2 linked regions of the Rhinolophus ferrumequinum genome follow. The protein of the gene in region 2 interacts with the protein of the main gene of each other region in a pairwise test. Links are inferred from orthologs where the notes say so. Each region holds a gene or a part of one and is shown on either strand. Other genes may lie near its edges.

What was found.
Region 1: the proteins of EFS (region 2) and OSTF1 interact in binary tests that used the Homo sapiens proteins (3 or more experiments, as listed by UniProt). The two-hybrid records come from large-scale screens. The link is inferred for Rhinolophus ferrumequinum from reciprocal best matches to the Homo sapiens genes EFS and OSTF1.

Annotation. Positions count from the first base shown.
Region 1 is NC_046295.1:40,458,694-40,474,818, reverse strand, and holds the start of OSTF1 (osteoclast-stimulating factor 1), read right to left. Parts: upstream 7,153-16,125; 5' UTR 6,953-7,152; coding exon 6,919-6,952; intron 1-6,918. Other genes in the region: NMRK1 (nicotinamide riboside kinase 1), read left to right, coding at 12,065-12,093, 13,202-13,292, 13,578-13,626.
Region 2 is NC_046289.1:73,800,102-73,815,732, forward strand, and holds EFS (embryonal Fyn-associated substrate), read right to left. Parts: upstream 10,719-15,631; 5' UTR 8,980-10,718; coding exon 8,962-8,979; intron 5,632-8,961; coding exon 5,353-5,631; intron 5,133-5,352; coding exon 4,998-5,132; intron 4,903-4,997; coding exon 4,180-4,902; intron 3,796-4,179; coding exon 3,706-3,795; intron 2,512-3,705; coding exon 2,077-2,511; 3' UTR 1,539-2,076; downstream 1-1,538. UniProt on the Homo sapiens protein: Docking protein which plays a central coordinating role for tyrosine-kinase-based signaling related to cell adhesion. May serve as an activator of SRC and a downstream effector. Interacts with the SH3 domain of FYN and with CRK, SRC, and YES.

The sequences.
Region 1 (16,125 bases), on a different chromosome or scaffold from region 2:
CCAAATTCTAAGGGATGTTAACGAGTTTAAAAATCCCACGTTAATCAAAATGCACCAATACAAAACTCCCCCAACTCTTGCCCCAAGAGTAAGTTAAGGAATTTGCCTTGTGACTTTCTAAAAATTCTACAGATGCACAAACATCAAGTGGGAAATTACTGGCAAGAATGAATAAAAAGGAGGTGGCTACAGCTGTCCCACCAGAGACTTGTGTAAGTGACTTGAATCTGTGACCCTCTTTAACCCATGGATGCAAACTAAACACCCACAGCTACTGTTAACACTGACAAACGGATGTGCAGATACGTAAAGGACTGTTATGCAGACATTTAAATTCTCGATTTCTGTGTGAAGCAGTACTGTGTTCCACCGACTGCTACACTAAAATGGCGCTCGCTTTCATTTGGAACAAATTTCTCTGGCCCACAGTTCCATGCGTGCACACCAGTCTCCCTAGCTTCTCTTAGACAAGCTCAGCCCTATACAGTCGGGTAAACATGGATAGGAGGATATATCAAGCTATTTCTGCTCGAGTCAAATGACTTTTCCCCCTTTGCTGCCTACCAAATTCTTACTCAGCATTCAAGATCCTACTTAAATTTTCCCTCTTCCGTGACTCCTTCTCAGCTTTCTCAAGCTCCTTGCCTTGCACTTCCCAGCTCTCTGATCTCACTTTGAGAATATCTCCTATCACGTGCTTTGTAATTTTTCTGTTTAAAGCAAGTTCACACACTTTTGGTAGGAAGGTAAACTGGTAGAACCTCTTTGGAGAGTAGTTTGGGAATGTCTATGAAAATGACAAGGCACATTACCCTCTAACAATACAACAATCCCACCAGGACTGTCCCCTGTGGATTTATTCACACAGGTAAGCAACAAGGCTGTTATAACACTATTTGTTGTAACAAAAGAGTGGAAACAATCTAAATGCTTATTAATATGGGTTTGGTTAAATAAACACAGTAGAGTACCATGTGGTTGTTCAAAAGAACCAGGAAACTCTCTCAATACTGATATCTGAAATTTTTTCCCCAAACTCCTTTAATTTGTTTGATAGAGAATTTTTGTTTTTTCTAGCTTTGCGGTATGGTTGACAAATTGATAGAGAATCTTGACTTAACTAACATCAGGCCACTGAAAGGAGGTCTCTCTGTCTCTGATTCTCTGTCTCTCTCTGATATATTTTGTTTTCCCTGGGCATCAAGCAAATGGGGACAACTTTGGCAATGGTTTTCATCAGACATGAGGTATGAGGTAAAGGGGATCAAAATCTGCTACCCCAAAATATGCCACTTTGGCATAAGAATTTTGAGCTGAAGGCAACTGAGAAAAAGCAGACACAGGAAGAACTCATTGCCCTCTCCCTATCTGCCTAAAAGCAGGGCATAAACTCCCCTTGTGAAAGTATACCTCCTAACATGCCCACCCCCGCTATGTAAGAAAGAGGACAACAACTCTTACTACAGGAGATGAAAATGATACCTAGATAAGTCTATATAAACAAACCTTACTAAAATAACTCTTATCTTCTATTAGTTTCACCATACATTTACCTTCCCACAATTCACTCCCCCTAGAAGCCCATTTCCTTTGTCTGGTCCCTTCTCCACAATGTATCACCCTTTGTTAAAATGATATATAAGCTTTCAAGTCTAACCACTTCTTTGGGTTTTCACTTCTTTTCTGTATATCCCTTGTACACATAAAATTAAAAACATCAATTAAATTTGTATGACTTTTTCTCCTGTCAATCTGGGTCTGTTGTTTGTTTTGTTTTGGTTTGGTTTTTGGTTAGTTTAATTCACAGGACCCCGACAGAATCTAAAAGGGTAGATAAAAAGTCTCCTCTTCCCTTACAGAGACATGTCAGAAAAGCTAGTTACTAGTCACAATGAAGTCAAGCAGTGGTAACGTTGAAAACGTAAAAGGGAAGGACCTCATTATTTCCAAAAGGAACGCTGATGGACACTGCTCCAGCCTTTGCTACTTCATAATGAAGCTACAAGACGTGCCCAATCAGTCCTCCCCACCTTCTTCCAGACAAAGACTTTACTATGTATCAAGACTTTTTATGTATCTGTCATACACAAAAAGTTTAGTTGCTATGCAGTTACAAAGAAATAAAAGATTATGCTACTCTCAATAAGTGTCTAATAGTCAATACAGATCTAATGAAAGAGGAGAGTTATGCAAAGTACATGCAAAACTACAACTGTTTAAGTTAATGAAGGTGACTGCCCAAATAAAGTTCATCCAACCTAATAGAATCCTCACAGGTTTCTCTGCGCAAAACACACTGACTCTAGTTAAGGCTCATGTTCCATTCCCGGGTCATACCAACCACTTTCTACCTTTGAGACCTCAAGTAGTTTTCTTAACCTTACCAAGTCCTACTTCATCCATAAAAATGGGGATATTAGGATCCACCTTTTAGGGCAGTTAGAGTAATTAAATGAGATGCAGCATTTAAAGTTCTTGGCTCAGTGCCTGACACTTATTTAGGGTCAAATAAATGCCAACTAGTACTATCATCATCATTTTGTAATTTTCAAGATGTTTTTCAAACTTTATAAATGGAGCCCCACTGACTAATTCATTTATTCAGAGGGAAAAATTACACAAAAATTCAAATCGTCTCAGATGAAGACCTTTTTATTCTCAAAGGTGTTATATAAGCAGCGTATGTATGACATCTTTGAAGTTTATGATGTTTTTACTGTGTATACAAAAGAACCCAAAACACTGACATTTGCATCTTCAAAGTACCATGAATTTATTTTCACAAGAATTTATATTTCACAAGAAATATTTATGCTGTTTTACTTTCATCACCAAAATCAATAAGCCATTTAAAAGAATTGGTCCAGATCAGACATCAGGCTTCCAACTACAGTGGAGGGTTATCAAATCTGTTTAGAATGCAATAATTCTAATCTAAATCTCATTCAGTATCATTTAGTGAATCTTATATCAAGTCTCAGAATAAAGCCACTTTTTAAAAAAGTATTTGTGAGAACATAATTTGTTTTCTACACTCCAACAGACCAGGTGGGTTCACCCTAATTGAACTGCAAGGCTTTGGAGGGTGGCTGAAAGGAACAGAAGGGCTATGTGTGTAGAGCTGAGAGGCTGGACTAGTTCAGCAGAAGGTAAGGAGGGTTCCATAAAGAATGAGCTAAAGACCACAAAATTGTGACACAACCGACAGAGTACCATGGTGACATATCTAACAATTAGAGGGCAGAATTTCAATGACCAACCTTGAATGGCCAGAAATGACCCTACAAAAGAAGAAAAAAATCAGTAACCAAGGAAAGGTTAAAATATGATAGAACCGATTTTTCAAGCTGAACACAGGCAATACTACACAGACTATAGGAAACATATGCCACCAACAGCAAGGCACTTAAAACTGAAACTGAGACACCATTCTGAGGATAATTCACTGAAATTCAATAGATTTTTTTTTTTGAATAAAATAGATTTGAAGAAGAAGAAAAAAATATCCTGAGGAAACAGTGGTTATCACTAGATGATAAAGTAGGAATGGTTTTTATATATATTTTTATATATTTATTATTTTTCTATACTGCAACTTCCTAAATTTTCTATAATAAAAATATTATTTTATTTTTAATTATAATACAAGGTTTTTTTCAATAGGTAAGATCAGCCATCCAATTGTAGAAATAGGACAATCTAAGATATTATCTGTAGATACATAAATTCCCCCACCCCCTTTAGACTGAAGACACTCATGGCTGAGACCTTACTTCAGTGTTGCTTGGAACCCCGGTGTCTAACACAGGGCCTAAACTACAAGGGGCACGTATTAAGAAGTATTCAGCAAGTAAATTTTGATTGTGACCAGAATCCCAAACAAGGTGACCCCTGGTATAACCTCAGGAAGGAAATGAAGAGAATGCGAAGGAAATTAGGTTGGCAGAGCTTTCCCTCAAGCATCTGACCGGGCTTACCTAGGTAGCCTCCTTTGCAAAAAGGTCCCCTTGTGGGGTGCATGCCCATCACCCCGATAGCTACCTTAGCCCACATTATAGCTTACTGTCTCTTGCTATTAAAATCTTCCAGTAAGCCCTTTGTCCTGCCTAGCTCCCCTCCTTTTAGCGCTGCCTATGAATTGAGTCATGCTGTTCTGCCCAGATCTTGCTTCGCAGGAAGCTATAGGGACGACCACGATGATGTCCCACTTGTGTTCTTTGTAGAGATGACCAGTCCACTCCAACACTTCAAAGAGAACCATGGGAGAATCTCATCTCAGGGCTCAGTGCCATTAAAATCAGTCTTCTCCCAGCAAGTAATACATTGTAATTTTATGAACACTGGGAATTTGTAATTGAGCTTTTATCTCTCTGCTTAAAGCTGAGAGCCAAAACTACAGCCCTCCTTTAAGAATTCTGTAGGACCTTACCACATATGTATCTGAAAGCTAACTTTTCCTCCGATTTCCTCTTACTAGTTTTCCCTCCCTCAACACAACCGTGCTTTCTTTATCTGTTTTTACCCTCATTTGGGATGAGGCAGGATATAAATAAACGAAGAAACCAAAAATTAAATAAACCTCCCTACCCCCAATTCCAAGCTTGCTTCAGACATTTTCACCCATGTAGCTTGCCTGCAGGACAAGAGAGTAAAGCTCAGTACCACTCTCCTTGCTGCTACCAACCAGGCAGTGACTTTTATGTGCTTTTGTGATCATAAAGTCTGACTGAAGGCCAGAGGCACTTTCCTTTCTACTTCCTGCCCACCAGCTCTAAAATACACAAGACCGTGTGAATGGTTCACTGTGGGGTAAGGCTTCGTAGTTAAGAATCCAAATCCTGGAGCCAGACTACCTGGGTTCTAATAATCCTGCCTGCTCCTCCCCATCCATCTGCTGACCTTGGGCAAGTTATTCAATCTTTCTGTGCCTTGCCTTCATTTCCCGACCTGTACAATGGGAATAATAATGGTACTCACCTCACAGGGTTGTTGTAAGAAGTAAATGTGTTAATGAATTTAAAATGATTAGACCAGGACCTGGCACACAGTAAATGTGGGCCAGAACTCTAATAGGACAGTTCTGTTTTCAGTTAAACCAGGCCACACAAAGTTTCAAGTCTGACTGAAAGTAGTATTTCTCACCGTAAATTAGTAAATTGACAAAACGATTTCTATGGTGACCTTATTTGAGTTTGGATGTCATGTACAAATGAGGTGGACTCACAGCTCTCTCTAAACAGCAGTCATTTTCAACCATTTGCTCTCTGATTTGCTGAAAAGACGGAGAAAGCCGTAGTGTCAGACAACAAAAATGGTTCCTGGGAGCTTATACCCAACTGGTAACACCATGATCTTTAACCACATCTGTGTGTGCATGAGTACTCATATACACGAGTACTCATGTACACACTCGTGCACACACACATACACATCACTGTCAGTGCCCCTCCAGCCGCAGCACAGACACCACTTAATGTCTAGAGAGATGAAAAACCTCATGACATGCTTACTCTGTTTGGCTATCAAAGAACAACTCTGCTTTGCTGGATGCTTGAGGTTCTGATTTACATCTGAGTTTTGAAAGGGACCGCCTCCTACATATTTACTTAAAATGCAAATTCCTCATCAGATTCCACATGTAAAAAAGCACGGAGCCCAACTCAAACCACGCCCCATCTTTGCTTACAGCAGAGCCAAAATCCCAGCAATTTCCTCCACACCCCGCCCACCAAAATTGAAGTCCTCAGTGAATCACTGTTCCATATATGTGAGTATGTACATAATTTTCAAATAAAATGACTTGAAACTGAGAATGTATGAGGGCAAAAAAAGAAAACTGAAAAATCATGAAAGTTGTAGTATTTGACTAAAGTTTAGAAAAACCAAGGAAAAAAACCACTGAAACTCTATGCCTTGCAACCAAGGTTACTTCGAAATTTGATGTAAATGGATAAATTTCAGCCTTGCTGTACTAAAGTCACATGAGATTGGAAGAAAAAACCTGAGAGTATGTCAGGGCTGTTTATTTTCCATTCCCTACGTTTCCGCTAATTATCTACTAAAAGAACGCAAAGAGTTTGTTACAGTATTTCATTGAAATGCGTCAGTCCCCTTTAAGTTTTCGTGTCTCCCTATCACAGAAAATATTCTAAGAATAGAGTCAAAAATGAACCAAGACTATCGGCCCAGAAAATGGCTTTGAGGAACTTAGGAATCGCACCGTTTCCAGTTTAGCAGGCGAAATCCACTAGAAGAGTGGAGGCGCAGGACTGCGTAATAAAGTGACACTTCCGAATAGAAATAACCGAGATTGCTCTGCCGTAGCCTAGGTTCTTCTCGCCACTAAGTTTAGTACAGAGTTTTCTAAACGCGTTTCCCAAGATCCTGAGGTCAATTTCAAACGCTGTTCCTCTCAAAAGTCCCAAAGGAGACTCGCTCACCCACCCCACCCTGCAAGCAGCGCACTTCCCGTTTGCTCTGGCCGGTCAAGAACTCTAACTTGACAGATACACACTTGGGGGAAAAAAAAAAAAAAAAGAGGAAGTGGCTAAAAGACCATTTCAAGGCATTTATTTAATTTCTTTTTTAAAGGGAGATCAATGGCCCTGTCTTCCAGGAAAGCTTCAATGGGACGTAGCCATGACACCGGCTTGAAAGTGGCAGCGAATGTCAGTGTTGCAAAACTGAAGGAGACTCCTCTTTAAAAATAAACTTTTAAAAAATCCTCGAAATCCTCTTGCTATCCAAACGATTCCTTCCCTTTCGTGAACGCAACAAAGCTAACGACTCCCATTCTGATGGATCGGATCTCGACAGCGAGGCTCCGGGGCTGGGTACGTGCCTGGTCTGCACTGCCAAGTGGCATAGGAAGCGCAGGGCACCGAGGCGGTCAGGGGACCCGGCGAGCACCTCCCTTACCTGGTTTGACCGGTTTGGGTGGCGGCTTCGACATCTCGCTTCCTGGAGCAGCTGATCCTAAAGACCACGCACGAAAAGTCAACCCAACGCCCCGCCAACCGGCACCCCAAGTTTCTTTTTGTTTAGTCTGCAGTGGTGCGCCTTCAAGGACCTGCGCCCACCCTTGGCCGTCGCACCAGTGGACGCAGGCAGAGAGGCTCGGCGCAGTCCCGCCCCACCCCGCAGCCTCCCGAGGTGTCTAGAGCGCGCGACCCGGCCCACGAGGAAGTAGCCGCCGCTTTGCCAGCGCTAATTGGTTCCCTGGCTGGCAGCTGCGGCGCGGCGGGAGCGCGGGCGGCGCGCACGCCGGCGCGCGCGGTGGCGGAACCAGCGGGAGCCGAACCCGGACGCCGCGGGCTCGCGCCGGGGCCGTCCGGCCGCGCGCGCCCCCGACAGAAAAGGGCCAGACCCTGCCGTGGCGCGCGCGGGGGCCACGCTCACCGAAGCCCCCGCCCCGCCCAACTGGGGCTGGAGCTGGTCGTCGCGTCCGGCCCAGCTGAACCGATTTGCTACCTCTACGTAGACCGCCCCTGACCTGGGAGGGACGCAGGGGAAGGGGACTGTGGGCCCTCTAGGATAGCGAGCTGCTGGGTTGCGGCGGGTTAGTGACAGGGCGGCGCGCTTGGCCATCGCCTCTGCTTTGCTTGGGAGGACCCGGTGAGTACCTGCTGAGCCCGCCGCGCAGCCTCGCTGGGGCTTGGAGGTGTATCCCGAGTGTTAGCGCCGCTGGATCCCGAACCTGGTTGCATCTTGCAAGTCGTGTTTGGGACTCTTATAACCCTACATGGGCTGATACGGGCCTGCCAAGGAGGGCGTGTACTCGTGACTACTTAGTGCTTTACCGTCCCGCGATAATCCTTAAAATGGGAGTCTGCCTCCAAAAGATGGTACAGGTTGTGGGGAGAAGTCACCAGGGACAGGGTCACGTCTTGATCCCCACGGGAAAGGTCTTTTATTCCTCTAGTATTGGGGTTGACTAACTATGGCCTCCCTGCCTCCGGTTGTACGGCCTGCTAACCAAGAATGACTTTTACATTTTTATATGGCTGAAAATAAAAGAGTACCTTGTGGCATGTGAAAAATTATATAAAATTCCAATTTCAGTGTCCGCAAACACAGCCACACTCATTTGCTTATGTATTGTCTGTGGCCGCTTTCACTTCACAACAGCAGAGTCAAACAGCTGCTGGCAAAATGGAAAACATTTTCTACCTGGCACTTGACAGAAGTTTGCTGTCCCCTGACCTAGCAGATTGAATCTCCAATGGAGGCAAGGGCTGGAGTTATACTAGAAATGCAAAGTTCATAAGTTCGAAATAGCACAGTCAATGTTATAAACCAGTTGTATGTTTGGGGGAAGAAAAATTGAAATGAAAAAACTTTATACATGAGAGTCTCCATAAAATGAAGCTTCAGAAGTTTCTACTAAGGGTTAGTGAAAGATCGCGTGATTCCAAGGGAAAGGGACATGGTTGCATATTCCAGAAACTTTAACTTTGGGAGAGTTCCGTTTACCAAAAAGGGGCAAAGGTTAAACAATAGTAGGAAAAGACTTCCCTCTGGTGTGGAAGAAGATCATCGAAATATCCACTGAATAAAATAAATGAGTGAGAAGTCCTGAAAACATTTCACTCTGAAAAATATCAAACTGCTCTTTCAATGCATTGAAAAGCAGAACATTTCATTAGCATGTTGTCATCTGTCTTTGAGAACATTTGTGGTAGGGACTTGCTGTTTCCTTATAATCTGCTGATTCTGCACGTGTCACCTTGACCATTTTGCAATTTAGAATCCAAAATAGGCCAAGTGTAGTGGTGAAATACAAGAAATGTAATAAACACATACCAGCTGTAAAAAAAAAAAAAAAAGTACATATTTTACTTAGGGGAAAAAAGTATTTAAAATCATTAAAATTACTCATTTGGGGTTTGCTCTTGGATATCTTAGTCTGTTCTCCCCTATGAAGTGTTTTGTGCTGTTTAGGAAAGATTTGCACTAATTGGGAGAAGAAAGTACATAAATATCCCACGAGATTGGGAGTGGTATATATTCCGAGTAACTGGATGCCCTGGATTGATGAGGCTGGAAAGTCCAAATGGTTGTCTCTCTGGAGACATTCAGTGATTAAAGTATGTGGTTGTTCAAACTTGAGTTTGCTTCATGGAGTGTGCTGCTGCTTGTATTTGGAGCCTGGCAACTCTTGATTACAAGTTTTTTAAATGTGATTTTAAAATTGTTCTTAAAGAGGGCAGCAGGCAGTGAAGTAACAGAACGTGTGAAGGTGGACAATGCCAGGCCTGAACTGAGTGTTCACCTGAAGCTGACCCATGCATCCAACACTGTTTTGTAAATAAATTGGCCTCTGGGATTGCTACACCCACTTCTACCCCAGCCACTCATCCCAGCCACAGTTCTTGTTTCTGCTTCTTCCAGTTCCCCACCCCTCCCACTACATTGTCACCTGTTCATTGCTAATGGACTGTGCCCCACATTTACTCAAACACTGTCTTGGACAGGCTAAGACTGCTAACTAATATAGAACTGAGGGTGCCTGTTTTGGTAAAAAAAAATAATAATAATAAAAAAATAAAAATAAAAATTTGTATTTGACTGTGGGAGTTCCTTCCTGAGCCCAAGGGATTGTGTAAGTACGTTCTTGACTCTCCATGACTCCTGGTTTCTGAGTTGCTAGGTTTTCCACCCAAATAATCCCCTCAAGCGTATTTCCAGTGCCACAGCCACACTCGTTATTTACATGCTATGTAATTGATACAATATCCTCACGTGTTTGCACAGATGTGATGAGAAACACAGGGGAACAGTAGTCCTTGCCATTCAGTGTGCACAGCAAATATACACCCATCAATAATACATCACTAAGAGGATATCAATTACACTTGAGAACCTCACAAGCCAGCGCATGTGCAACATCCTTTCTTTGCTTTTGGTAATGAAGTGCTTTTGAATGGCTTGGGAAGAGGAGGTTAATTTGCTTGGTCTAGTTTCATTCCTGGCTTTTCCAAAACTTACTAGCTATGTGACCTTGGGTAAGTCACTCCATTTTCTGGGCCAGTTTCAACTTCTGCAAAATGAAGGGGTGGACTAAGTGACCTCTAAGGCTATACTTCCCTGGGTTTGAGAGTTTAATACGTTGACCGACTATCCAAAAATAATCAAGGTGGGGGCAAGGAACGACACAGTTTTATGTTTTGTGTTTTGTGTTTGTTTGTTTGTTTTGCCAAGTGAGGACATCAACCTACCACTATGTACTGCCAGCATGACTTCACAAGAGAAAGGACATTTATCACATTTATCATTTTTATCTAAAAATAAGAAAGGTACCATCTCAGGATAAATGGCAGTCTTCTCATCCCAAAAGAGGATAGTTGGCAGCTTTGCACTGAGTTACTAAAAATAAGAATAGGGTAAATTAAATTCAAAAATAGAAAAATTACAACTTAAAAATTTATTTTACAATATTCATTGTATGCCATTGTTCCTGTGATAAACTTTGGCAATTTGGGTGGAGGTACAGATTTTCAAAAATGCAACTCCAGGTAAAACTCAGATGCCTAACTTGTTCTGTTACTTTATTTTTATCATAGTGATTATTGAATTCTTGTCTCATATAGGCTTGTTAATGAAAGTGGAACTGAACCTTAAGCAGTTGCACTTAATTTGGAATATTCTGGATAAAAAGAAGCCCAGGAACAACAGCTCTCTCTCCACAGGTGCTTCCCTCCCCGCCCCCCCCACTCTCCCCACCCCCCCCACCCCCCACCACCCCACTTTCCCCAGGAGGAGCCTGGACAGAGGTCAGGGAGGGCTGCTGGGAGGCTCCAGCTCAAGGAGCCACTCACCCCACGCGGGCACACAACTTAGGTCCCTGGTCACCCAACTAGAGCAGCTTAATCAGAGGCAACTCTCAGGAACCACTGTTCTAAGTTTCCCTCCAGCTGAGCTTCTCCTTTTCATTTAAAGAGGTGAAAATGGTCTACTGGAATATCCACAGGAACTGCTTTGTTGAACCTTAGAGGGCCATGTGTGAAACTGCGGGCTACCCCTTATACCAGGGGTCAACAGACAATAGCCTGTGGCTGAAACCTGGCCCTCTGACTGAACTCCAGGCAATCACTTTCCTGATAGGGAACACTAACTTTGAAATCCACTTAGAGAAATGTTATCCCAATAAAAAAGGAATTCCATTCTTCTCATTAGTAGATATGAATTGCCAAAAAAAAGACTAAATTATTATTATGTTTTGACTTTGATCAAAAAAATTGTGAAAATTTGTTTCTCTCTTGTTATATAAATATCTGCTTAATAACCTTGATTTTGCCTCTTGGCCCACAAAGCCTCCGATATTTACTACCTGTTTCATTTCTGAAAAAGTTTATTTACCCTGGCCCTAGACCTAGGCTTCGGGATGAGGAAATGGCACCCTTAATGGGGTGCTAACTTCCTTTTGCCTATGACCAGCAGTTACTTCCTCCCCATTTCAGAAGGGAGAGAGGAGCTCTGCAGTTTCCCTCCATAGGGGTAATGGGTCATCTCCAAGTGATTGAATTATGCAGGTGACATATGACCTGCCTGAGTGCAGTATGAAACTCTGTAGTGTGCTGCGCGACCTAGCAACTCTTCCACGACCTTGAAAACAGACCTTCAAGGGTATATGCTTTGCCAAGGTACACTTTCAGTTCACTCGATTTGGGCTTATAGGCCCTGAGCACGCACCATCTGTTGGTACTTAGCAGGAGAGTGTGGCAGAGAGAAGCCAGTACAGGCATACCTCATTTTATTGTGCTTCACAGAGACTGCGTTTTTTACAAACTGTATGCAGGGCCCTCCACCAGCAAAAAGATTATGACTCCCTTTATTGCGGGATGGCCTGGAACCGAACCCACAATATTTCCAACGTATGCCTGCACAATATGAAGCTCTTCCATGGAATACGGATAATCCAGGGGTGGGGTAACCCAGAAATCACAGCCATCCTCCTCCTCAGCTGGCCCTTCTAATTTAGGACTCTTACCTCTTTCAACATCTGAATGACAAGCATTTGATTTTTCTTTTTTATTTTAGGAAGACGTGATTTTTGAGGCGAATTATGAACACATTTGTCATTGGAATTGGTGGGTGAGTAATTTTGCTACAAATAGCTGATCAAGACACTCAGGATGTCCAGACTGTGTTTTCAAGTGGACATGGTGGTGGAGGAGGAGATGCAATGAGGATCTCCTGAGTCCTGAAGAAGTGATCAGGCCACTGTCAAATGTAAAACAGTGGAGCTCTGGCTACATAAATACCAACAGTAGATGGGCGAGTTTCCTTATAAACAGAAAAATAGGAGCGTCAGTAAGCTAAGTTTGCCTACTTTATCATTTATTTTCTGGAACTGATACCAGAACCAAGGCCTGATCAGATGCTACCATGTTTCCCCGAAAATAAGACCTAACCAAAAAATAAGCCCTAGCATGATTTTTCAGGATGACATCCCCTGAACATAAGCCCTAATGTGTCTTATGGAGCAAACCTTAATACAAGACCCAGTCTTATTTTCGGGGAAATATAGTACTTTGGTTCAGAATGGTTTTATTCTCCATATGGCTGCTCCCCCATTGTGACATAGGAGAAAATCTATCAGTTCTTTCCTGTTTTGCCCAGCTTTGGACATACAGAAAATGGAACCACCTCACCTGACTGGTGTGATAAGCTAAAATGGACTTCCCATCCAGCCCCAAAGTGGAGAGAGATTAGGGGAAAAGAAACATCACAGAGGAGATATAAATTCATGATAGGTAGGCTTGTAATAAGCCACTCCTCCATTTTTCAACACTGTGCATTGAAACAAAACCACAATGACCATGTGCAGTTTTATATACTTGCATTAAAATGTGCTGCCTATATTCTGTGTTGCATATAAACCCTGTGAATATTGCGCCATAGACAAAACATTTCTTTGTTTCCAACTCAATAGTGGTATTAAATCTTGATATTATCCCGTTGACTTGCCCAGTAGTTGCCTTTCTCCTCGATCCTTCCCAGCTTATTTCTTATCATTTATTGCATTAGATCTACTTATGCCTATGGTTTTACCAACAGGAAAAAACCAGTATCTATAAAAGAAATAATTTATTCCTAGATATTCCATATTGTTTTAAATACCCTTTCTAAGATCATTTTTATATGTTTTTTAATGCATCTTTCTGTATTTTCAATTTTTCTTTTCTCTTTTTTGGTTCAGTGTGACAAATGGTGGGAAGACAACACTGGCTAAGAATTTGCAGAAACACCTCCCAAACTGCAGTGTCATATCTCAGGATGATTTCTTTAAGGTATCTATAAAACTTCTTAGATCACTTATTTAACACAAAAATGTTTTAATAGTAAAGTTAATTGAATTACATACAAAAAGCCTTTGCTGATAAAGCTTTTTGCAGTGAAGGTCGACCCAATGCAGTAGTGTTACGTGTCCAGTAGATGGCACCACTTATTGGTCTTGTTCTTTGAGTTAATTATTCTCATTCAAAGCATTTATTGAAGGTTTATTGCCTCTTCGTTCTATAATTGTATTATATTTGCACTGCACAGTTTTGATGGGTACTTTATCATTTTTTCAGCCAGAGTCTGAGATAGAGACAGATAAAAATGGATTTTTGCAGTATGATGGTAAGTAGATGAGCTTGTAAAACATTGTGCGCTGATGTTCTTTTTTTTTCCCCAAACCCAAATAACTTTGCTATCTATGAAGACAGTGTCAAAGTGTGTTTAAATATATTACTATACTTTAAGGCTGCTTTTGTAAAGGTTTCTGATTTTTGTTCAGATATCTAAAAAAATGAAATCATTTTCCCAGTTTTATGTTTGAAACTGAAAACACTGGAATAATACAGATTTTTCTTCTGAAGCTAGGGCAAGGTGGGTTCACTGGTACTCTAGTAATCCCTGCCGGGAATACATGACTAACTATACTCCTCTTCCTGACCCCCCAGCTTCACCTGGAGCAAACTCAAAGCACTCACCTTCTGAGCTTTCCCTCCCAGTAACCAAAGTGATACTGGGCACCTGGGTTTTTGTTTTTTTTTCCTTTTCTTTTCATTGCTCAAAAAGGATAGTGAATATTTTTCAGCTGGATTCACCTCACTTCCTTACCCAGTACTATGTTTAATGATCTTACCAACTTTTATAATTAACAAGATGATCATTGAGGTCTTGTACAAACCAGCAACCAAGACAATTCTCTTGAGGAGCCAGAAAATATGTTCTTTATTTTTAACTTTGATAACCTTGGAAGAAAAATGTTGTGCTGTCAGTTCTTACAGACACTTCATAGACTTAAGAGAGGCAAAGTCCTTGACTCACTGTCTGTTCTTGTGTCTTGAGCTGCAGCCAGGATATTTTTTTCTTCTCTTCCCTTCCTCTAAAGGTTAGTAAAGAAGACTATTACATGTGAAGCATGCACTGTACCACTGAACTACATCCCCCAGCCGGGGAGATTATTACAAAGTAAGAGTTAAGCAAGGAAAAATTGTTTTCAACAATTAACAGAATGATTCCTAATTTAAATGAGTTCTTACAGACTGATAAGAAAAACACCAATATTCCAACTGAAAAATGCCCAAGGATACGAACAAGCTATTCACAGAAGCAAACGGTTATTTGATAATGTGCAATACAAAGTCAACCTCAAAGGTAGTCAAAGAATCTTAACTTACTTTTGTCCCCACTTACCGAATAAACAGATTTTTAAAGCAATAATAATTATCTAATAATGGCACCGGCTCAACAGAACAAAAACTGTCACAGATGGGAGTATAATAAGTTGGTACAATCTTTCTAGAAAGGAGATTGAGCATATGTCCCAAAGACCTTAAACATTCATGCCATGTGTTCAAGTGTCCTCTTCCAGGAATCTGTCTTAAAGAAAAATTTGAACTTTTTATGTAACTGTGCAAATTTAAGGTAAGTCAAGTTAATGTTGAAATCTTTATGATAACCACCAAAACAATAGTTTTAAAATATACAGCTATGAAGTTTGTAAGTAGATGGCCTCATTAAAATATAGTTGATAAGTCAAAAGAAGTAAAAAACAGAACAAATCAAAAAATTCTGGGAAAATAGAAAACAATAGTAAGCTGATAGATTTAAACCAAATATATCAGTAGCTACATTAAGTTAAATGAACTAAAATACTCCAAATATTGTCAGACTGGATTTTTTTTTAAAAAAAAAGCCAACTACAAGCTCCTTACAAGAGATATATTTAAGTATTAGGACATAGAAAAGTAGATAGTAAAAGACTAGAAAAAGATAGTATACCATGCAAACACCTAATGAAAGAACACTGATGTAACTATCCTAATATCAGACAAAGTAAACTTTAAGGCAAAGAGTATTACTAGAGATAAAGAGAGATAAATGGATCAATTCAACAGGAAGATAAACAATCTAAAATTTGTATACACCTGATAACATAACTTCAAAATACAATAAGCAAAGATCAACAACACTAAGAGGACAAATAGGAGAAAATCTATAATTATTTTGGGTGATTTTAATAGTACTTCCTAAATAATTAATGGAATAAACGGGAAAAAATTATAAGGATCTATCAGATTTGAACAACACAATCAACAAAGTTGACCAAACTCCCAACAAGAGCAGAATATACATTTTCCCCCCTCAGGAACACGTGGAACATTGACCAAAAAACAAGGTACATAAAAGGCATGCAGCAAGTACTAATACATTTCAATGGATTCAAGTAATACAGAGACATCTTCCCATCACAGAGAACTGAATTAGAAATCACTAACTAAAGAGGAAATAGAAAAGTCCCAAGTATTTGAAAAATAATCGGTACCTTTTATTCTGAGTTTTAAAAAATTTTTCTTATGGAAAATTTTAAATATACAAAAGTTGACAGAAAAGTATAATGAATTCTCGTGAATCACCATCCAGCTTTAAAAATGATGAACTCTTGACCAATTATATTTCATCTGTACCCTCACTCAGTTTCTCCTTCTATATTATTTTGAAGCAAATCCCAGACATCATTGCATTTTATTTGAAGCAAAACACTTCTGTATACCCCATGGGTCAAAGAATAAATCACAATGAAAATTAGAAAATATTTTTAACTAAATAATAATGAAAATATATTAAAAC
Region 2 (15,631 bases):
ACTACATTAGAGAACCACTTCTCTAAGAGATTCGATACCTAACAGATCCTTTATTCTCTAATCTCAGGTAAGGGCTGGAAAGGAGTGTCCTGTCAGTCCCAACCAGGAAATCCATTCCCTCTTCTCTCCACTGAAACACGCTTCTAATTTGTCTCCTGTTGAAAAATTTTCCAAATATGGAAACTCTTCTAAAGCGGTTAGCAGCCTCCCATCACTTCCCCTCCCCCAGCTCGTGTCAGCACCCCTTCAGGATTTACTTCAGTGCTGTCATAGCCAACATTCCTGGGGGATTTGTCTGTGTCTTTGTGTCTGTCCTGGAATTCTAGTCCCTTGACTTTATGTGCGCTGTTGACATGCGTTGTCTTGTTAGGTCCTCACAACCCTGTGAGACCATTATGATCGTCCTCATATCACAGACGAAACTGGGATTCCGAGGGACTGACAGGATTTACCCACAGACACAAAGGTACATGTGGTTCTGGGACTCGCACTGAGACCTCTGACTCTAATTCCAGGCTGACCTCTTAAAATTCTTTCTGGAAGACGATGGGGGATGGCCCATTATGTCTTGAACACATAGGGGTGAATTTTGGTGGCCCCAGATTCTGGAAATGAGTTTTGTTTTGAGAGTGAAATGAGGAACAAGAAACCCATAATGGAGGCAAATGCATAGGAGGTGCCAAGACACTAGGATTGTGACTGAAGTTTGAGGTGCCTCCAATCCAGTCACTGTGCCAGGGCAGCATCTTGGGAAACGGATTTGTGGCTTGGACTTCTTCCCTTGTGGCAAATGGCTGGAGCGATTCCCCATCCAAGCCATGGCTCATCTATTTCACCAAAGCCCTGAAGACTATGGACTTCTAACATACATTCATCTGCTCGTCAGCAACTCTAAAAGATGCTGTGTCCAGGAGGCTCAGCAGGAAGCCTGGGCAGGGGAGTTTCAGGGGTCAGACCCTCTTGGGTTAACCTAAGGAAGCGAGCACCAAGGCCAGCCAGCAGCACTCTCCAGCTGGCCAGAGCTATCCTGCAGCACAAAGCTGAAGATAGTTGGGGTGACCTCTGCAGCACAGCACCTTTTAAGGCTCTCGTGTGGCCTTAAATGGCCTCCACATGTCTCCTTTCTAATGACATCATTTGACAATGAGGTGTTGGAGGCCACAGGTCAGTAGTCAGTGTCTGTCTTCCTGGAATGCTGGTTCTCTCATCCTTGGGGTCTCAGCTCAGATATCACCTTCCAACCATCCTGTCTATAGTCTCCTTCCATGGTTTCTCCTCTCATCTGGTTAGTCCTTCGTATCACCCTGTTTATTTCCATTATCAGCAACTGACTGACTTGTTTATGTCCATTCCACCCCACAATGTATGTGCCTGGCACATCATGGGAGCTAAGAACCCGCAGAATGAATAGTTGTTGACGAAACAGCAAAATTTCACCCCAAATCCTAAAGGCACCCATCCTGTCCATAGTGTGTCCCATAGGTTTGGCCAAGGGGCACCAGACCCAACCCCAGGCTCCTAAGAAGCAGAGTCACGGAGCCAGACAGTACGGTTTATTGAGGTGCATGCCCAGTGCCAGAGGCCCAGCTCTCCCACATCCTGTGGAGAGGAGCCCCGGGCCTCTCCCAGACCTTCATATTCTGGGTGGTCATTGTCCTGCCCTCATTCTAACTAACAGTGAGGCACTGATGTTCTAGAGCCAAGAAACAGGACATGCAGGTGGCCCGGGTTTCAGCCACCTGATTCTCTGTGGGGCTGAGCTTCCAGAGGTGGGTGGCAGTGTAGTGACAAGACCCTCCACCCCAGGCTGAGGAAAGAGGAAGAGTCCTCCTGCTCCAGAGGACCTGGCACTTGCCCCTGACAAAACAGGGAATAATATTAAATAAAAATAATTTATACAAAATGGCTTGTACAAAAAGCTGCAGGGTAGGGGGTGGAGACGTCTCTGTGAGAGACGGAGATGACTGAAGGGGGGGATGGGGATCCCCACCTCTCCTAGTCCCTAAAAGAGCCTTCCAGTTGCCCAGTGTCTGGAGGGGTGTCTCTGGCAGGGAGGGGAGGGGCAGATTGGAACCCTCAGGGGGCGAGGCTTGTGAGCAGGTTGGTGAATTGCAGGGCATGCCCTGCCAGCTCTGCCACACACTGTGCCATCTCTTCGGTCGCAGGGCTGGATGGGTAGCCCAGGGCAGCTGCCTTGACAGCCAGCACAGTGGCCCGTAATGCCTGGCCCAACGCTGTACCTGCAGCCCCAACCTGAGCTCGGAGAGGGGTGGAGGCTGCCAGCCGGTTCAGGGTATCCCCAACAAATACCAGGCGGTGAGCGGCCACCACCACCCGCTTGCCATGGGGCACGAAAAGGCGTGGGGGCTGGTTGGCCCTGGTGCTGGACATCAGGGCTGCCACGGCTGCCCGCAGTGCTGAGTAATGGTTCTGGCACTGCCCTGCGTAGAAGTGCAGGAGCTGTAGATCTCCGGTGGGCAGAACCAGTGGCTCCCCTGGGGACAGGGCGTCCTGAGGGCAAAAGGAGTGGTCAGTGGGAAAGCTCTGTTAGTGTCACTCCTGCTCTCACTTCCTTCCTCCTCCCTTCTTTGTTCCTCAGTCCTTTCGTCCTAGTTCAATCCCTTTAGCTCTTATCTTTGCCCATCAGAAAATTTAGATCCTCATAGTGAGTGGCAGGAAAGTGCTCAGAGCTGGTGTCAGATACATCTGGATTCAAACAACCTCACACAAGTCTCTGAGCTTCTTTCCGTATCTCTACACTGGGGAATCGAAGTCCTGCACTGTTCAATATTAACAATGCAAATCACACGTGTGATTTGAACATTGCTAGTAGTCACGTCAAGAAGAGTAAAAAAAAAACTGGTGTATTTTAAAATCCCAAACCTAAAAATGTTGTAATTTCAACATATAATCAATATAAAAATTATTGAGATGTTTTTTCACACTAAGTCTAGAAATTCTCGTATGCATTTTACATTGCAGCACATTTCAGTTCAGACCAGCCACGTTTCAAGTACGCGATCGCCACGTGTCTGGCTAGTGGTTACCACATCGGCTAGCGCACGTCTAGTATCTGCCTCCTAAGGCTGCGGTGAAGATGAGTGTGAGTTGCTACAGTATATAGAAAGGGCTCAGAAGAGAGCATTGCACACTAAGCCCCGTAGGAGTACCAACTGGCTAGGATTAGTGTTGACGCACGCAATGTGCTTAGCACAGAGTCTGGCTCTTGGTGAATACCTGAAAAATGGTAGCGATTGTGATTAAAACCAGAGTCAAGGAGACCACCTCACTTTCCTGAGGCCCAGAGACATGAACTGGCCACGTTAGAGCCCCTGGTTTTTTCATGGTGGAGCCAGGATTAGGAGCCAGGTCTCTTAAAACCCAGGAAATCAGTTGGAAGGAGCCCCAGAAGTAACCTGGCCCAGCTCTCACCCACAGCCCAGAAACTTTCTGCTCCTCAATGCTCAGTTTTCTGATTCCTCTCCAACACATTCTTTCCCCTCTTTCTGAATTCCTGATATCCTTTTCTAAATTCCATCTCCTTCCTGTTGAATTTTAACTCCTGTCTACTCCAACTGTTCCACTTCACTGAACTTTCACCCCATCCTAATGTAGTTCTCTTGATGGTTCAGTTAATACTCTCTTCCATGTTCCTGCTCCTCCTTCCCCGGTCCCCCTTCTCTAGTACCACCACCACAGGGTTACCTGCTGCTCCGGTGGCCCCCTCTCCAGCAGTTCAGGACCATCTGGGAAGGCCTTATCCAAGGGCCTAGATCCCTGAGTTTTATCCATGCCCTGCAAGAAGGGGTCAGAGTCTCAGGCAGGGATTGGGTAGCCTTCCTGGCCCTCCCCACTCCCCCTTCCTCCCTGAGGTCTCTCCTGCCATCAGAGGTTGCAGTTCCTGGACTCCAGGTCTGGGAGAGCTCTGGTGGCGAGTCAGAGGGCTCAGGGATCCCAGCCTGGGTTTAGGGGGGGATGTGGTACTGGTACAAGTGTGGCCAAGTACTGGAGTCCCAGGCCAGAGGAAGGGAAGGAAGGCGAGTCCGTGTGTGGGCCCAGGCCTCCTCACGCCCCCCCAGTTCTCCAGGGACTATTACCTCCTGCTCATGTCCTGGTCATGTTACCTCCTGCTCAAAACCCAGGGGCACCTCGGGAGGGGCTGGCTGGAGGTGAGCTCACCTTCAGGTGGACATAGTCGTACTCCTCAGACATCGGGATGCCCTCATACTCATTGTGGTGTCCTGCTGGATCGTCCTCCAACTCTCCGCCCTCTGAATCCCCCTCAACCTTAGGGGTTCCATAGCCAGGCAGGCGGGGTGGGGGTGGGGGCAGAGGCCTGTCCTGGATGCTGCCCTTCCGGCCTGGAGCAGGAGAGGGGGCCGGGGAAGGGCTGGGGGCCTCAGGGATAGGCAGGGCAGGCAGAGGGCGGCGGGACAGGCTCTCAGCCGAGGGCAACCGGGGCCTGTGTGAGGGTGGAGGACTTCTGGCCAGGAGCAGGGCCAGGGAGTCCGCATCATTGGAGGCCAAGGCTCCCAGGGGTTCTGGAGAAGGGGGTGTCTCTGGCCCCAGTAGGGGCACGTCGTAGATGCCTTCGTCAGTGTCCCCACCTTCCCCATCTGCTTGCAGTTCCTCAGGTGCTTCATACAGGTTGAGCAGGGCTGATGCCCGTTTCAGGTTGGAAGGGGCAGCGTAGAGGGGGGGACCTGGTTCTCGGCCCCCCTCCCACTCCAGATCTGGCTCCAGCTCTGATGGTGGCTTCGGGGCCAGAGGCACGTCATAGGGAGCTTCGTCTTCTCCAGGGGGCTGTGGGGCGACCCGGGCCAGAGGGCGGGAAAAGGAGGCAGGGGAGTCATAAGGGCCACTGGAAGGAACTCGGAGGGCAGCGGGGGGCACATCATAGACCTGGAGAGGGAGCAGCTAGTTACTCTCAGCAATTGACTCCCTCCCTCCACAGCTGTCTATTCCCAGCCCGACATACACAGACCTCTAGCCCTCACCTCCAAGGCGTCTCCAGAGGCAGCCAGTTGAGTCCCACCGCCTCTGGGAACCTTGTAGATGGGGTCAGGGGAAGGTGGGCAGGAAGGTGATCCTGAGGTCAGACAGGGACGAGCTGGGGGTGGCACCACATACACCTGGGGGATCAAGACGGGTGGGTGGGTCAGGAGTGGGGACCAGGGAATCAGGTCACGTGTGTGCCTTGGAGGAGTGTAGACACTTTCCAACCTCCTCCCTGTCCCACGGGGAACTAGAACCCAGAAAAGGTTGACAGGCTTCTTAGAGCAGAGCCCTGAAGAACTGCGTGTGGTCTCAGGGCTCTCCCTGCCCCGGGGTTGGGAGGGCTCCAGCTCTCACCTCCTGGTCCTCATTGCTGCGCTCTGGGGCTGGATATGGTGAGCCAGGCTCGGCTGGGGGCACCTGGGAGAGGCTGGGCTTGGGTGCTGGGCCAGGAGGAAGGAGCTTCACTCTGTTGGCAGGCACTATGCCCTGCTGGCCGTGCAGGGAGCAGAGGCACCAGCCGTTCAGCCCACCAGCGCCCTCCCTCTGCAGTACCCGTAGAACATCCCCTCGGCGGAAGGACAGCTCCTGGGGGGACTCGGCCGTGTTGTCGTAGAGTGCCCGGGCCAGCTGGGCCTGGTGGGTGAGGTGGGAGTGGGGAGAGGGTCTTCATACACATACCAGGTCATGTTACCTCCTGCTCAAAACCCTTTAGAGCTCCCATTTCCTTCAAGCTAAGAATCTGACCTCCTGACTCAGACCTTCCTCACTGGGCTCTGCCGTGTCTCCAGCTTCATTCCCTGGACTTCCCTCTTCCTTTCTATTCCTTGAACTAGACAAGCTCTTTCCCACCTCAGGGCCTTGGCACTTGCTGTTAAGAGGTCTTTTCTTCACTTTTTTCCTACCCCATTCTGTGTCTGTGTCCACTCATTGTTTCCTTCATAATACTTTATAATATTTGTCTATTTATTTGTATTATCGATTTCTTCCCTTATACTGTAAGCCCTGTGAGAACAGGGACTCCTATATTCCTTAGCCTCTGCAATAAGGCCTGACCTGGAATCAGTCCTCAATAAACATGTGCTGAATGAATTTCCTCCAAAGCCTTGCATACACAAGGAAGTCCTGCTAAGGTCTCCCACAGAATGTCCTTTACCTCCCGTTTCCCATCAACATCCCCCACAAACAAAAGGTTAGATGAAGCAGCTGCAGAGACCCCTCATTCTGAGAGGGACTGGGACTGGCTCAGCCCAGACAGTGCCTAGGCATAAAAAGGAGGAAAACGGAAACCGAAGCAATTGTTTTATTCTCAGTCTGAGCAAATAAGGTTCTCAGAAGAGGCTGAGGTTACCATGGAGAAATGGAAAAAGTACACACTCGTGTGTGTGTGTGTGTGTGTGTGTGTGTGTGTGTGTAAGGGGCTGGTGGACCAACCAAGAGCAAGCATTTATCAGCCTGTTTCCAGTCCTCTCTGGTGGGACATCTAAACTTTTCCTTTGAAGATCCACACACTCAGGTAGTAAGTCACAGATACTAAGTGCAAATTACGTATCCAGACACTTTGAAAGTTTTTGCTCTAATCATCTCATCTCATTTAATCCTCACAGCAACCTAAGGAGGGAGGAGCCGTCATTATCCCCATCTGGGAAGGAAACTGAAACAGAGAGGCTAGTACACTGCCCAACGACATACAACTGGTGCAGCTGGGAACATATGTGAACCCCTGGCTGCTTGATCCTAGGGCCTGCACTCTTAATCACTCCTCTACTGCCTCTCCATAATCACAAACACATGGATCTACCTTTTCCTTCTTATATTAGGAGCACAGGTTAAGTCAAGAAGGTCCATGACTCAAACATGACTCAAACGCATATAAAGTCTTCATTATACCCAATTTCCCTTTGCTAGTCACCCTTCATAGGGCTCTGGTTCCACAATGTCCTTTGGTAGAATCAAGCTTAAACCACTCAGGATATCAAAATATATTCTGCTTCAGTTTTTGCTAAATGACTGCAGCTGCAGGCAGGATCCCAGGCAATGATGGCTCACACAGTGGTGGTGGAGAAAGGGAGTTAAGCATTACTGAGCAGGTGATCCATCGGGGCTAATTCAGTAAAAAATCTCAAGCTAAAGATCTCTGGCAGGTTGTATTTGGCCCCCGGGCCATGGGGAGAAGGATGCCCTGCTCAGCCAGCATGAGTGCATGTTTCTCTTGGCTGGTGTTTCCCTCAGGTGGAGAGGTTGGCAGCCCTTCATCACTGGGTGATTTCAACAGCAAACTGACTTCTCCTCTTGCCTGATTCCAAACTTATCAAACCATTTTCTGATTATGTTGGTTTCTAAAGGATGTTGTCCCATAGAAAGAAAACATGCTAACCAGGTGATACAAATTCCTGGTTAGCGTGGCACTTTTCTTTCTAATTATAAATTTTCAATTGATGTTTTGGATTTAGCCAAGGGTTAAGAGCACAGTTCTGAGGCAGACAGAACTGGTTTTGAGCCTTGGCTCTATCCCTTTCTACCTGGGTGGCTATGGGCAGGTTGTCAAACCTTTCGGAGCCTCAGTTTCCTCCTTTGTAGAATTCTATGTCCATATCCAAATATCTATTTTTGGATAAAATAGTACTATCCTCACAGGAATGTTGTGAAGGTTGGATGAGATAATGTGTCAAACAACCAGGACAAACCAGGACAAAGCTTAGGGCCAGTAAATGTTCAATAAATACTAGCTGTTATCAGGATCCTGTAAGTTTGACGATCATAAATACCAGCCCTCCCCCCCCACCCCACACACCTCTGGGTAAAAAGAAAAATCTTCCTCCTGGGACTACAGTTGACCAGCTTCTTCCCTCCCCTCTCCTGGCTCTGAAAACTATGATGATTTTTCTCACCATCATACAGATGGAGGAACTAAAAGGAATTTGGTTTGAACAGTGAAACTTGAACTTATCCTAGAAGGAAATGGGAGGACGTGAAGAACCATGCTTCTCTTTCCGGCCTCACAATCCTCCTGCCCAGAGTACCCATTCAGAGGGGACCAGAAAGCAGGTGGCAGCCTGGCTTTCCCTGGGAATCCTAGGGCCTAGGGAAGGTGGAAAAGGGGACAGAGTTGCTTGGAGTGCAAGACAGAAAGCAGAGGCGGGGCTGAGGACAGCTCCTCCCAGTGCTAGGTTTGAATTCTGTCCAATGGGGCCAAACCTCTGGGCCTTGCAGTTGTGGGGAACCCAGGCCAGAGCTGCTGATAACCTGATTGATGATGGGTGTAGCCACCTCTATCCCCTCCTCAGGGACCTGGCTGACTAGTGAGGGAGGGGCTGACTTAATGGGGGGTGGCAGCGGACCACAGCATACTCCGGGAGGCCTCCTCCCACTGTCCCATCATGCCAGCTGTCTCCTCCCTTTGTCCCCAGTCCCCAGAAAGTGGCCAGAGGCTGGCTGACATCACCTCCCTTCCTCCCTCTATTTTCTCTTTCTCCCTGCCCGATCTCCCGCTTTTGCTTCGTTTCCCCCCTTTCCTCCATCCCTCCTCTACAGAAGGGCCTCCTTGGGCCCTCCAGCCTCTCCCATTTTCCCGGAGCCACCTCCATTCTTTCAGCCCCCTCCCAACCTTTTACTTGCCTCCCAATCACAAGCCCCTGCCAGCCACCAGTGGCCATCTGTTCCGCCCATAAAAGAGCAGATAAAACTCGGGCTAGACTTGCCCCCTTCCCTCCATCCCTGGGCAGCCTCTAGAAAGAAAAAGGGGAGAATGGGGAGAGGAGGGGGAAAAGGGGAACCTACACCCACAAGGAGCTAGGGATGAGCAGTGAGGAGAAAGGGAAACAGAAGTGAGAGAAAAGGGACAGCCTCCTGGAGAAGAAAGGGACCAAGGAGAGAGACAAAGAGACGGCAGAAATAAAAGTGACAGGAGTGCAGGGCAGCTGTGAAGGTCTCTGCCCCACAGCCTCCTTTCCCTGGTGGACTCACCGACGTGGCTACGGCCATGGCCCTGGCCTTCGGTGCGGCCTGCTCCAGGCCAGGCTCGGTTTCGCTGACTTCAGCAGCGGCTGCCCCGCACCATGGAGGCGGCCCACGGCTGCGGCGCCTGAGTCGTGGCCTCCGAGGACGAGGACGTTGGAGGAGGAGAAAGAAAACCCACAAAACTCCCCAAATGGGAGGCAGCTTGGTCGGGCAGGAGGAGGAGCAGGGCGGGCCGGGGCGTCGCTGCGGGACCTCATCCAAGGGCGCGAGCTCTGCACTGTCCCCACAGCCTCCCGGGGGCCGCCGGTTTGGCCAGGCCCCCGGAGATGCCTGCCCTAGGCCGCCGAGGCACCCCAGGTCCGCATGGACCTAAAGTTCCCTTCTAGGGCCGGGGCTGGCGGGGAGGCGGAAGCTAAGGCTGCGCTCGACGACTCAACAGGCCGCTCAAGACAGCCCTGAGGGCTGGGAGAAGCCGCCTGGGCGGTTAGGCTGGACAAGCGAGTTTAGGGGCCAACCCAACCCCACCCGGGGCCGAAGAGCGGGGATCCCAGGGCTGTGTTCGGGGCGATCCGGGTGCTGTAGCGGCCCCGCTGCCGGGGAGGGAGAGAGCTAGAACTGAGCCATCGGTCCCCCTTCAAACTCGCCCATCTTGGCGAAAGGAGGCCAGGCTTACACCAAAGGCCTGCGAGAGCGTGACCGTGGGGCTGCGTTGCCCGAGTGGCTGCTTTCCGCCCAGACACTCGCAACTTCTGGATGAGGCGGTTCGCACTCACTCACACTCGCTCTCAGCACCTCCGCGGTCTGGGGGCGCCGCGATAACACGCGGCCAGACTCGAAGGGGCGGGATGGCCTTCCACAGCCGCAGAGGGGCCCACCCGCCCTCCTCCGCTCCTCGGCCGCAGCGCGCAGGGCCACCCGCTCCAGCTCCCACCCTTGGTCCCCAGCACCCGGCGCAAGCGCGCCGCCCCTCTCACGCGCACCCTGGGCAGGGCCCCTCGGCGCTCCCAGGGCTCGAGGCAGTACCCAGGTATCTCTGGGAACCCAGAGAAAGGCCACAAAGCAAAAGGAGCAAAGAGAAAAAGGAAGGGCAGGGGCCTGGGGACTCGCCTGGTGGTGGGGTGGACACTAAGAGGGCTGGGAAGGCTCCGGGGGTCGCGCGTGGCCTTCAGGCTCACCCCCGCTGGCGGCGCCCTTTCCCTCCCCTTCCCAGGCTCCCGGACCCCTTTCAGGGCAGTTCCTTTCTCCTCCCCTCAGGCCCTCTCCGCTCCGGCTCGGGGCTCGGTCCTGGGGATTAAGAGAAAGGAGGGAGGGGAAAAGGGAGGGAAAGGGAAGGGGCGGAGGAGAAAGGAGGACGATCCCTCCAAAGGCGGGTGTTGAGTTTCAGCTCAGGACCCTCGGGCCACACTGCACGCCCCCTCCCGGCCCCTCTCCCTGGCTCCCTCTTCCCGACGTCGCGGTGGCCCTCCGGGTGGTCTGGTCAGCTCCCCGCTCGGAGCTCGCCTTTCCCCGCCACGCCCCCGCGCTCCCCCGCCAGCCCCGCGCCTCTCTCTGCCTCCCTTTCATTAGCCCTACATCTGTCTTTCCCGTGGGAGGGAGGGCGCTCCTTCCGCCTTGCTTGGGTCCTCAGCGGAGTCTCTCTTCTCTCTTGGCGTTGCCTTTGCAGGGGTGGCAAGGCTAGCCGCGGTTCCTGCGGGGAAGTGGGGCTGGACTGGAGTCGGGGGTCTGTCTGGGGCTGGACGTGGATTCTGGCCCTGGCGAGAGAACGTGAAGCCTAAGCGTCTGGTCCCAGAGCTGCAGGAGGGCGAGTTGTGCCGCCTCTTACACTCTTCTGCCAGTCTGGGCCTGTCCCTGGCCCTTGCCCTGGCACACTCCTGCTGCCACGAAGGGCAGGACTGAGGAGTGCAGGCACAAAAGGGCCAGCTTTCAGGAAAGCTGCGATCTGGCCTCCCAGGAGTTTCAGCTGAGAGGACCCGGCTTTGGGGTTCCCACCTCTCTCCTGCCATACAACTAACTACCCCTTAGTGTGTACACTGTCTCCCTCCAGTTACACCCCTCTCCTGGTTCTTCCTTTTGGGGCACACATCAAGGCCTGACAGTTGCTGGGGGGACAGAGGCCTTCCTTCTTCCGTTTTTGAGGTTCCTGGTATTTAAAAAGTGAGGTGCCAAAAAGGATTGAAAAGCTGTAGTCTATTTTCAATATTTACATTTAGCAAATTAACACTTTAAACTGTCAATGTAAGAAACGTCCAAACCTGTAGAGAATTTTTATGAGTTTGTTTGAGGCAGACTGAGGAAAACAAGATCTCAAACGCTCCAGAGAAAGACAGTTTTGCAGTTTCTTCTGTGCATTTGGAACTAAGGAGAGAAGGTAAGGCAGATTACAGGAAGGTAGAAGAAAGCAAAGTATAGGATAGTTAGCAAGATTATGTGCTCCCTTGAGGGTGCTTACGCCTTCCAGGGGTCTGGGAAAGATGATTACTTCTGGTGTTTCAAAGGTATGTTAACCTAGATGCACAAGAACAATGGGCAGGGCTTGCTTAAGGCAAAGGTAAACCTTTTACTAAAGAAGTTATATGCCTGGGGCGTGACCACCCACCATGATCTGCCCAGTTGGGAATTTAGGATTAGATCACCCTGTGAGACTATTTTCATTCACTGAACTTGTTGTACATAACTCCCTTTTGTCCACATAAAAAAAATAGACTCTATGTATAACTTCATTTGAGAATAACATCAAAAGTCTAATTTAAGGCCCTTTGTGGACTTCAGGCCTGGGACAGATAGATGCTCCCCTCTCCACATTCCACAGGCCCACGCATCCAAGCATTTTCCAGGAGGTGAGGTGAGAATACCTGCTTTGGCTCCTTCCCATCCTTATTGCCTGGGCACCTATGAAGAACCCTCTGCAGAGGGGAGGAGTGGAACCTACAGGTGGATAAGGGAGAGATTCTGGGGTAAACGTGGGGATGGACAATATTGGTGCTGGGTCTTGGCTCAGAGATGGAGTGCAGACCTGGGCGTGGGGCTGGAAATCCTGAACAGGATGGTAGGGGAATTTTTAAATTTTCAGATGCATCTGAAGGAAGAGCTCCCCCATCCCCGCTCCACCCTGGTCCAACTTCCAACAGACCCCAGGCCTGGGGGGACCTGGCTGTCTAGAACACAGACACTCAGGAGAGTGACAACATGGTCTCAGTCCAAGGGACTCCCAAGGCAAGCTGGGGCCCATGAAGGAGGTGATTAGGAAACCCAGCTCCCAAAGATGAACGCTCTGATTGGCACAGGGGAAATAGATGGAGGCCAGAAAAGGCTAAGCAGGAAGGAAGCTCTAGGACCAGGCAAAAGGGTTGTTTGCGAAGTGGGTCATGGGGCTCAGTGCCTGGGGAAATGTAGGTGAGGGCAGCAGAGTGCAAACCTGCCTGAAAGTGAGACTGTTTCTGGAGGGCCTGGGCACTGAATGGAGACAGACTCAGGAGTGAATCCTGGTTTATTAAGCTGTGTGACCTTGGTCAGGTTATATATCATCTCTGAGGTTCCTCATCTGTAACAGTGACATTGGTGAAGAGTGAATATGTGCAAAGTGCCCAGCGCAGCGATCTCCCTCCACTTTTCCTCTTCACCTTGGCTCCCCCGACAATTTGTGCTTTTATGAAAGCTGAAAGGGTTTTTGTTTGTTTGTTTGTTTGTTTGTTTTTGCTGAGGGCAGGAGGAGCCTTTTCCCTGTTATTAAGCCTCATCCCTGCCCTCTCCTTTGCGGAGGTTTAAGGTGATTCTAACTTGTTCAGGGAGAGCTGTGGGCTCCAGGTAAAGTTGGAGGAAGCCCAGGTTAGGTGAGCAGCTAAGACCCTGGGTGAGGGGTGGGTGATGCCTCAGGCAGCCAGGCCCTCAGCTTTGTGGCTTGCCTTTGCTATATTCAGCAGTATAAAAGGAAGGAATTTCCCCATCGGGCTTTCTGGGTCCCAGTCTTCTCTCGCCTTCCCAGCAGGGCAAGCCAGCTGGTCTCTTCCTCATCCCCTCCCCATGACTTTCTTGACCTATTCTTGTTTCTCCTGCTACTCAAAACTTCTCAGGTGCTCACAGACTCTTCCAGTTCTCCCTTTGGAACCCCTCAGCATCCAGATTGCCTGGGTTCTAATCCTGGTTCCAACACTAGCTAGTGACCTTGGCAAGCTACATGACATCTTGGAGCCTCTGGTTTTCTGTTGGTACAGTGAGATAATAAGGGAACTGATAGCATCAGCTTGTTGTGAGGATTAAAAGAATCCTGAGGACAGTCCTGGCCCATGGTGTGTACATGTCGGATAAAAGCAACTCTTATTTGATGCCAGCCCTGGGGGTAGCATAATATCAAGGACTAGGTACTCATGCTTGGGAAACTCACATCAAGTAGATATTGTCTGAATCCAGTCAATGCCTCCCCACAGACCTTGAAATAAAATCCAAATGCTTCACCACAGCCTGTGGGCTGGAACCCTATGTGATCTGGTCTCTGCCCAACTCTTCCGCCTCATCACATCCCACTCTTTCCCTCATCCTTTGTTTTCCATCCACACTGTCTTTTCTGTTCCTCAGATATGCCCAGCTCTTTCCCACCTCTCGGATTTTGCATGTCTGTCTTCCACCGCCTGGACCACTCATCCCCCAGACCCTCCCCATCCTTATGTCAAATTCTGAGTGCTCAGAAAGGCCTTCCCTGACTTTCCAAGTTAAAGCAGCTCCCCTCCCCCCATAACTCCCTATCTCATAACACTGTTTCATTTTCTTCATAGCACTTATTATTATTATCAGAAATTATCTCGTTTCCTTGTTTATCATCTGTCTCCTAAGACAGAGGCTTCGCGAGGGAGGGACTTTATCTGGCTTGTCCTTCTCTGCATTCCTAGCATTTAGAAGAGTGCCTGGTGTATAATAGGTGCTCAATAAATATTTGGCAAATGGATGAATGAACAGGGGCAGCCATGACTGTAGGACAAAGCTGAGTAAGGCATGGGACCTCTGTGGGGAGCCACCAGCACTGGGCTGAGGAGGGAGTTATGGAGTGTCTAGTCCTGTGCGCTCTGATTCCCCAGTGTTGTCTCCCAAGCTAGACTGGGCTCTCTGTGTGTGAAGGCGTGCTCCTGAGCCTCAGCATTTTAGTAACTAAAGGTGACACTAAAAATCATTAGCAACCAGTATCATTCTCACCTACCAATCAGGACATGGGAGCTATGTTCTGGAGGCCCCTATCTGAGCAAGCCTTAGTTGCGGGATCACAGGGAGGTTGTGGCAGGGGTGCCCCAGGGCTTAGGATATCATCTACTGACCAGCAAGGGCAGACGTATTTCAACATTTTAACCCTCAGTGCCCCACCTCACATCACGTGAGTGCACATGAGTTTCAGTGAACTCCGCTGAATTCAGGAGCTGAGGTCTAGAGCAGCTAAGCTGGTTGGTGCTTTTGTGGCCATCCAGGTTAACCTCCCTCTGCCCCCCACCTCCAACACATGCACACTTCTACAAAGAAGGAGAAAGAACCCAGAGAGGGCCCAAGGTCACGAGCTGATCAAAGGCAGGGTCAGGACTTCAAGGTAGCAGGTGAGGATTTGAATGTCTTTCTGAGGAAGGGCAGGACAGCCATCGTCTAGCCTTCTGCAAACCCCAAGAGCATTTCTTGGCCAAGGGTGAGGATGTATGCCGTCACCTCTTCCCTTCCCTTTCCTGTCAGATGTGATCTCTCTTCCCAGGGGCACAAGGGTGGGACTCCCAGCAGGTCCCCTCTGGCTGCCAGGTCAGGCCTTGGCAGGTGAGGGCACATTGGGAGGCACCCTTGATGTTAGGTGCTGGGCAAACTTTCCTTTGGTCCCACCTCCAGCATTCTCCCCATTGCCACCCCCATCTCGCCACACCTCCAAGGATTCCCTGGAAGCTGAAGTGACTCAGGGATTCCAAAACTAGTCACCCAGGAGGAGAACCCTCTGGAAAATATTTCTCATGACAGGCAGTCACCCTAAGGAGTCCCACCGAGATGCTAGTGAGACATGTGCACAGGCTGAGCAAGCCAGAGCGGAGCGGGGGCGTGTGGCTCAGAGCACAGGTTCCGTCTGGCCTGAGCAGCACTGGGGGGCACTGTGCTTGGAGGGGCCCTCCCGCTGCCTGTCAGGGCTTTTCTCAGAGGAGGTCCTGGTACAGGCAAGGATCACTCCAGGGGCCTTTCCTGAAAGTCAATGTGGGTCCTTTGCAGCATCAGCAAGTAAAACAGGTAGCTAGGATCACTTCAGATCTTTCCAGCGCCCCCTCCTGGATGGGGGTGGGGTAGGGGCAAGATCAGGAGGTCTGTCTGGGCCAAGGTCAGGCTCAGGCTCTGATTAGTTTGGTCTAGACCCATAGGGATCTAGCTCTTCTGGAAGAGCACTGCCCCTCAAAGGCTTTCCTAGGGTTGGTGTTTGCTCAGGAACACCAAGAACCACACGGGGGGCCACGTGCCAGACCAAAGGCTGGGGAATAAGAAGTGGGAGCCGTGGGTCCCAGCCAACAGGAATGAATGCCTGAGTGGGCAGGAATGCCCTGTGGCCTCAGGCACGTTCAGTTGGGACCTGTCCCCGCCCAAGCCCAGGTGAGCAGGAAAGCACTTACTGTGAGACCCCTTCCCTTTGCCAGCCAGGGCTCAGTCAGCACCTCCATGCAAGGCGCTTAGATTT